Coturnix japonica: one gene and its partner. The protein of the gene in region 2 purifies or fractionates together with the protein of the main gene of each other region. This does not show direct contact. Links are inferred from orthologs where the notes say so. Each region holds a gene or a part of one and is shown on either strand. Other genes may lie near its edges.

Region 1 (4,139 bases), on a different chromosome or scaffold from region 2:
TCTACAGGGACATGCTGCCATAATTCCCATCCGAGGAGCAGCCGCACCACTGTGCCACCACCTGCCTGGTGCCCCCTGAGCCCCCCCAGCCCCGATGTCCCTGGGAGCCCCATAGTAGCGCTCCATAGCAGCACTGAGATTTGCTGTGCCCCTTCATTGCTCCCCCAGGAGCCACTGACCAGGGGGCCAACAGCAAACCCCTGTGCTGCCTTATGGGTTCTGTGCACGGTGCTGGTTCTGGCAGCAGCCCACCCCCACCGGCAGCTCCCAGAGCCGCCCCTTCCCCCCGTCTCGGTGCTGGGTGCTGCTCCTGGTGCACGGCATCCCTGTGCCACTGTACCCCGTCACCACCTCTGCCCCACAAGTGCCTTCATCTCTCTCCCAGCAGCCCCCAGAGCTTTAAGCTCCATTAATTTAATACTTCCCATCTCGCTTTTATATTTTTCGCTCGTTTATTTTGTATTTTAAACGTTCTGGTGCTGAACTTGGAATAAAACTCGGTCCGCTCTTTTGACGGCCGCCTCTGCCCGGAGCAAATCGGGACGGACACAAGTGCCATGAAAGACCATCTGGGGGGGGGTCGGTCGGGTCGGGACCCCCAGGCCGGGCGGTGGGTGCTGGGCGGCCGCTGGTGCAGCCACGGCGCTGCTTTGTGCCTGGCGGCCGTCGAGCTGTTGGCAGCACGAGGCTCCGCCGGGACTTGGCTGCGGTGACTGAAACCGAGAGGCTGAATCACGGCGTGAGCCGCGGGCGAGGGAAGGGACGGGATGGGGCGGGACGGGACGGGATGGGACGGGATGGGGTGGGATATTATGGGATGGGATGGGATGGGATGGGATACAATTGGATGTAATGGGATGGGGACAGAATAGGATATAGAATGGGATGGGGAGGGGTGGGATGGGATGGGATATTATGGGATATTATGGGATATTATGGGATGGGGTGGGATGGGCGCTGCCGCTCCCCGCCCTGCTCCAGCTGCGTGTCTCCCCCGCTCCGACCCGCAGTGCCGCCCCCCGCCCCCCCTCCATTTACCCCCCTCCATTTTCCCCCCCTCCATTTTCCCCCCGTTGTCCCGACCCGGTTCGGTCCCGTTCGAACCCTCCCGGCTCCGCCCCGTGACGTCACCCAGGTGGGCCCTCGGTGCGCTCACGCCCTTCCCCACCCGCCCTCGCCCCGCCCCCGCCCCGCCCCGCCGCCCAATCAGCTCCCGGCGCGCGGGGGGCGGTCTCCTCCCCGCCAATGGCGAGCGGATAAACACGGGGAGGGGGCGGGGCCCGGTCAGCAGCGGCGAAGACGGACGGGAAGAAGAACCAATGGCAAGCGGGCAGCGCTGTGAGGGGCGGGGCCAGGCGGGGCGGGGCGCCGTTCGCCTTTTGTTCGTGCGGGAGCGGGGCGGGCGGCAGAGCTGCGGGAACCGGGAGAGGTGAGAGACGGGGGGGGCGGGCGGGGGGCGAGGGGGGGGGGCCTGGGCTGGGGGGTCCCGGCATCGAGGGGCTCCGGGCTCCGCGCGGTGTCGGGCTGTTACCGCCCCCCCCCCCCGGGGCAGCGCCGCGCCCGGCTGCGCTCATCCCGTCCGACCGGTCCCGAGCAGCCCCGGGGCTGCGCTCACCGCCGGGCTCGGTTCGGTTCGGCCCAACCGGCCCCGTGCGGTTCCGGTGCTGCCGCTGGGCGCTGCCCCGGGTGGTTGTTCCGGCGGAGCCGCTCACCTGCCCCGAGCAGCCCCGGGGAGCGGGACGGGCTGCGGGAGGGGAACGGGGACGGGGGGGTTAATGAAGCGGCTCCTGTTCATCCCGCCGCGCTGACACCGAACGTCGGGGCAGCGGAACTGAGCGGGGAGCGACCGGCTCGTATCGTCGTCACGTTCTCGTTGCGTTCGCTGGGTGATTAGTTTAATTAATCGGCGCAGATTAAAGCACGACGCGGGGCCGCTGCTGGGAGTTGCCCGCGGAGGAAGGCGTGGGTTGTGCGCGGGGGGACGCGGTGGGAGCGTGGGCGGCTCCCGGGGCGCAGCCCGGGCCGGGACGGAGCCGTGCTGACCTCAGCGCTGTCCCCGCGTCCTGCCGTGCCCTCCCCGGTGCTGGTATCCCCGGGCCCCCCCTGTCCCCGCTCCGGGGCTGTCCCTGCTCCGTCCCTTCTCTGTCCCTGCTCCGTCCCCTTCCCACCCGCAGTTTGGTCCGTCGGTGGGGGGCGCGGATCCCCTCCCGTGTCCTTGTGGGCGTGCGGCGGGGCAGTGTGCGGAGCGGAGCAGCCATTAAGGTCCTTCCACCTCCGAAGGCCGTAATTGTTCACCGCTTTGGAGGATTTCCACAAAGTGGTTTGAAAAACCCATTTGGCAGCGAACTCGGCTTTAACAGGTGGGCACAGGACGCGCCTGCGCAAAGCCCGGGTGGCGGTGGCCGGGGGTCGTTTTATCCCCGGTTCTGGTGCCGCTCGCTGGGCGATGAGGAGCTGCTGGGGGGGGCTGAGCTGCAGCTGCCCGACTCCGGCGGTGGGGAAGCGCTGGCGGAAGCGTGGGGGGGGCTGCAGGCCGCCCCAACCCCCCCCGCCCCCACAAACAATGGCTCCCATTCCATTGTCTGGTGCTGCAGCCACTCCCCTGGGGACAGCGGGGATGCCGGCATGAAGCACCTCGTGCCCCGTCCACATGTGGGTCCCCGTGGGCTGTGCCGTTGGCACCACTGCCCGTGGTTTGTTCACACCTGGAGACCACGGAGCGTTTCGCCTCTGAGCTGTACATGAAGGTCGGGTGCTGCCCTCCTCCTCCTGGGAATCCTTCCTTGTTCCCCCATCAGACCCCCAGCCGGTTGGGGGGTGCAGTTGGCAGCCCGCAGGGAGGAGCTGCGCTGTGGGGCTGCAGTACAGGGTCTGCATGGGGAGCTCACAGGGCTCTAATTGAGGTGTCTGTACCACAGCTCATGCTGCTCCTGAAATTTGAAATTAGGCTGGCTTCTAATTAGCAGGAGTTAAAAAGAAGTTTCATTTCTATTGAAGCACTGCAAGTCTGCCTTGGACTTCTTGTGGCACAGTTGCCAGCTCTGACTCTTGTTTTAGGTGGTGTTTTCCCACCTCGGTGCTTTAGGGCTGTGCCTGGGATAGGCAGCAAATGGGGTCTGGGTGGCAGCTGTGGGTCCCAGTTGGTCTCCTGGGACCTGGGGTGTCCCCCACGGGGCTGTGCCCTGCTGGCAGCGCCTGGCTCGCAGTCAGCCCTGGAGGATGCAGCACTTGAGCTGATGCAGCATTTCCAGCTCCACCAGGGTTGGGTTTACCCCGTTTCCCAGGGACAGGGTTGGGTGTTTGGGGATGGAGCAGGCACGCTGTCTGTGCATGGGAGAGGCTGCCAAAGAAGTCTTAAAACTTGACCTAAGCAGCTTAAAAACACATCTGTGCTTACAGTGCTGCTGGCCAGAGCTGAGCTGCAGAGTGCTCCAAAGCTGCATCCTGTGCTGCCAGCTCAAGGACGGCCCAGCACAGCCCTGGATGCCACGCTTGGCGTGTTGCTGCCTGCTCTGCTCAGTGCTCCCGAGGCCCACATGCTGCAGGGGTGGTGCAGTGCACCCAAAGCTTTGGGGTCCAGTGGTGGGGGGGGCAATGCTGTGTGTGCTTCATCACCCCCTCCTCCCCCCGCTCCCCTCCATGCTACATCAGTCCTTCAGTGCATCCTGGGGTTTGTCCTTACTGTGTGCTCACTCTGTGCTGGCTTTGGGCTCAGGAGCCTCCTGGGCCAGTGCATCCTCCTGCCTCCATGGGGTGAGAGCTGTCTATGCTCCCCCCTTGTGTGCAGTGCACTGTGCTTTGTAAGGGTGGTGAGGGGAATACAGGAGGAGTGAGGGGCAAGATGTTTCTAATTAGACAGGCTTGAGATATCTCTCCAAATCTGCCATCCCCGATTGGTTTTTCTGCAGCTGCTGACAGGCCTGGAGGCATTTCATAATGCTTGAATTGCTCGGATCTAAAATCCCTCCATGCAAAGGGCAGGAGCCTTGTGCTGGAGCGGAGCTCCTGGTGGCTCGGGGCGCTGAGCTGTGCTGGGGCTGCCATGGGATGCTCAGTGCTCTCTGAATATCCCACACCTGCTGACCTGACCCATTCCCCCAGTGCTGCGGAGATGCACAGGGGGGGTCGTGCAGCACTGC
Region 2 (3,511 bases):
CGTGATTTCAACTTCTCGATCACAATTAACTTTTACTCTTGATGTATGTACTGACAGCTCCTAAAAGCTAATGGAAAGCCATTTCTATGTAATTTAATGTCTGATTATTGGAGCGTTTAAGTTCCCTGACAGTGCTTTACTTTGCAAAGGGAAAATTTAGTGGAAAAATGAATCAGCTTTTCTACATGAAATGAACTCAATCTGATAACCAGGCCTACAGTTTACTAATATTAACTCATGATGTAAAAAAAAGGGTTTCACCTGAAAGTAATTTTATGAATTACTCTTCAGTATGTGCTAAGATCTAAGTATAAAAGATAAATGAATAAATTTGGGCCTTTTTTAAGAGACAAGGAATTGATGCAATAAACAAGATCTCTGAGCAAGATAATTTTCTACATTGTACTTGGAATTGATTGAAAATTCCATATGAATCTTTTTTTTCCAATCAACAACAACAACAAAAAAGAAGTTTTATTTTAAATCAATAGTTTCTATATGAAAATATTGACTACAGCATATTTGATGTCAGGTCATGTCAAAACATTGCATTTCAGTTTGTCAAACTCTAACATTTCATTTCAAGTTGAGTTAACATGAACTTTGATCTGGCTCAGTCTTGGTGTTGCTTCCCAGGTCAGCTCCCTCCCATGAGCTATGAGCCAGTAGCCAAACCAAACTTTCTGAAATGCACAAAGGGTCATCTTTGCTACTGTATGTTCTCTTCAGATGAACTGTGGTAGCCCAAGAGGATGCTGAGTTTTATGGTAGCTTTAAAAACTTGCTTTTTTTACTTATTCAATTTTTTAGTGCTTTTTACGGCTGCCGAATCATCTGTTTGGAACTGTTTTGTGTTGTGAAAGTTTTTGTGCCCGATATTTCAATTTTTGATTCTAAGGCAGATTGAAAGAAATACAGAAAGTAATCAAACCTTCCTCTAGAAGGAAATTCAATTTGCACTTCCATGCATGCTTTCTCTGATTAATCTGATTCTGTTGTTATTTACACAGTTCTCATGCTTTCTATTACTCCCTAGGCTCAGAAGAAGATGAAGAAGCTTATTCTGCTTTTCTCACTGTTCCTGGCTCCGGCATTCTCTTATAAAGAAAATCAGAAAACAAAACAAAACTTTTCTTCAAACAATACCAGTCATAAACGACTTAAGAGAGACTGGATATGGAACCGAATGCATATCAGGGAAGAGATTGATTCACCATTACCCCATCATGTTGGCAAGGTAAACAGCAGCCTCTTAGCAGAGAATGACTGGAAATGCAGAGAACAAATGAGTGTCCTGAGAAGTATTACTTCTTTGCAGCCTAGCTGAATTAACGGGGAATAAACGGCAAATAGAAATGGGACTGATGTAGTAACATTACAATCCTAAAATGAGGGCAGAGTGAATCAAGAGCAGCATCAAAGGAATTATAATTCTTCTAAAGAATACAGATAAATTTTAGAGAATGGCAAGCATGGAGCATCTGCAGTGAAGAAACAACTGCACTGCATGCAGGTGCAGAGTAAGGAAGAAGGTCTGGCAGCTGATGAATATCAGTGTTTTTCTGGTTGCTCTTTCAAAAACCTGGGAGATCAGCTAATAAAAACATACGTATTAAAGACCACATAGCTTACATCCCTCAGCACAGGCACAAAAATAAAGTGCACTTTAGGAGTACTGTTACACAATCAAAAATTTGTTTCACAAAGTGAAGGAAAACAGTTTTTGAAAGTAATAACAAGCATTGACCTGACCACAAACTCATTTTCTTCAGGGCAATGCTCATAAAATCCTGTGATTAACTGCACATCACCCAGATAAAGTTCTCCCAGTCTAGTCTTTCAAATTGAACTACTTTGACACTTCTCGGATAAATGCAGTTCTACATTTTCCTTCCATGTGCAACAATCAGTGTCTGTCAAGGCTGTTATGGTAAAGTGAAACAGACCTTTCTGGATCAGTGCTGCTCATTGGCAGAAAGCACGAGAGAGAGAAAAGAGGCCACCGGGTACTCAGCTACCACAGGATATCTCTGTTTCATTTCAGACCAATTCAGCAGCAGATTGAGAGAGTTTTTATTCCTGGTGCTGTCCTAAATAAGAGTAATTCACTTTGTACTGTGCTCTGTGGTCTTTCAAAAGCGGAATGTGTCTGATTACTTTTGCAGTGACTGTGTACAGTGCATTGCATTTGCAGGATTGAACACTTGATAAATCCTTTTAAAAGGCCACAGCATCAGCATGGCCAAACCGAGCGACAGATGCAGGAATATGCTGATACATCTGGATTTTATCTTTGATGACCTTGGAGGCTTCAATTTGCATGTCCATCCTTAGATTTAGCAAAGGCAACCTTGGAAGCTGTACCTTTCATACCAAATAAGTAAATAGAAATTAAGAAAGAAGACAAAGGCTGTACTATCTTTGAGACAAGGGTGAGATTCTTTCTCCTGTTACAACTCCAGAGTCACGAGCTGTTGTTCAGCAGCACCAGCAGTTAGAAGCATGATTAAATGTGTGGAATGAGGAAAGAGAATTTTAATAGCACATTTCAAAATAAAAAACATAAATGAAAGAATGTTCAACAGTAAATGACAACTACGGGATAAATCAAATCCTGAATACCAAACAGCTGCAATTTATGATAATGTCAGTAACAAAAGACTAGAAAATCTTTGTCAAACCCAACAATTATTGATAAATAGCTTGCTGAAACAAGAATGCTGATATAGTGCACAGAAAATTGTGTTCTAAACTTTATAGCAGCGTTCTTAGAGGAGCGTAGATAGGAAAGAATCATCAGATTATGTCCAGATTAAAAGAAATAATAATGTACAAAACCACCTGGGACTGGATTAAATTACACATAAAAACAGACTCATTTTACCTTTCACCCCACCCTTTTTCATACAATACAATCTTAAATTTGAAACTCTGTGGAGTGAAAACTTAATTTCACTGCCATAACCATAAAGACCAACTATGAAGAAATGACACATGACTAAACACAAGAAAGCTGTCAGCCATGGCAGGAATTCTGCTAAATGGCAAACAATGGAGAAAAATGCTAAATAATGTTTGTCAGTAGCTGTGAATAAGGATTTGTTTCTGTCATTCTGTGAAATCCAAGCAAAATTCCACTTAGAATTCTGCTACATTCCAAAGATAATTTGCCAACAAGTGTAGCTCCATGTAGTGGTACCTACATTTCTGACACAATGAGGCTGACAGTTTTTATCTGTAACTGCATGAACAATTTATATCTTTAGGAAATATAAGGCATAACCTTAAAATAAAACATTCCTGATATATAAGCAAACAGGTTTCAGTCTGGATGCACGTTTTATCCTATTCTGCATTGCTGGTTTGTCCAGTAATATGCCAGCTGTCATCAAAATTCCCAATGGTTTCAAACTGAGTCTGAATAAGAGGTCATGTTTATGTGTATCTTCTGGTAGAAACTGTTTTATATTCCAAAGCCACAGCTCACTTTTATCTCTTTGAAATATACTTT

What was found. Proteins that work in one complex are often made in the same cells at the same time.
Region 1: the proteins of CDH5 (region 2) and JUP purify together in Homo sapiens (affinity purification with western blotting; 3 studies listed by BioGRID and IntAct, with this or other methods). This does not show direct contact. The link is inferred for Coturnix japonica from reciprocal best matches to the Homo sapiens genes CDH5 and JUP.

The regions. Positions count from the first base shown.
Region 1 is NC_029542.1:4,305,550-4,309,688, reverse strand, and holds the start of JUP (junction plakoglobin), read left to right. Parts: upstream 1-1,331; 5' UTR 1,332-1,429; intron 1,430-4,139. UniProt on the Homo sapiens protein: Common junctional plaque protein. The membrane-associated plaques are architectural elements in an important strategic position to influence the arrangement and function of both the cytoskeleton and the cells within the tissue.
Region 2 is NC_029526.1:10,025,949-10,029,459, reverse strand, and holds part of CDH5 (cadherin-5), read left to right. Parts: intron 1-1,036; coding exon 1,037-1,237; intron 1,238-3,511. UniProt on the Homo sapiens protein: Cadherins are calcium-dependent cell adhesion proteins. They preferentially interact with themselves in a homophilic manner in connecting cells; cadherins may thus contribute to the sorting of heterogeneous cell types.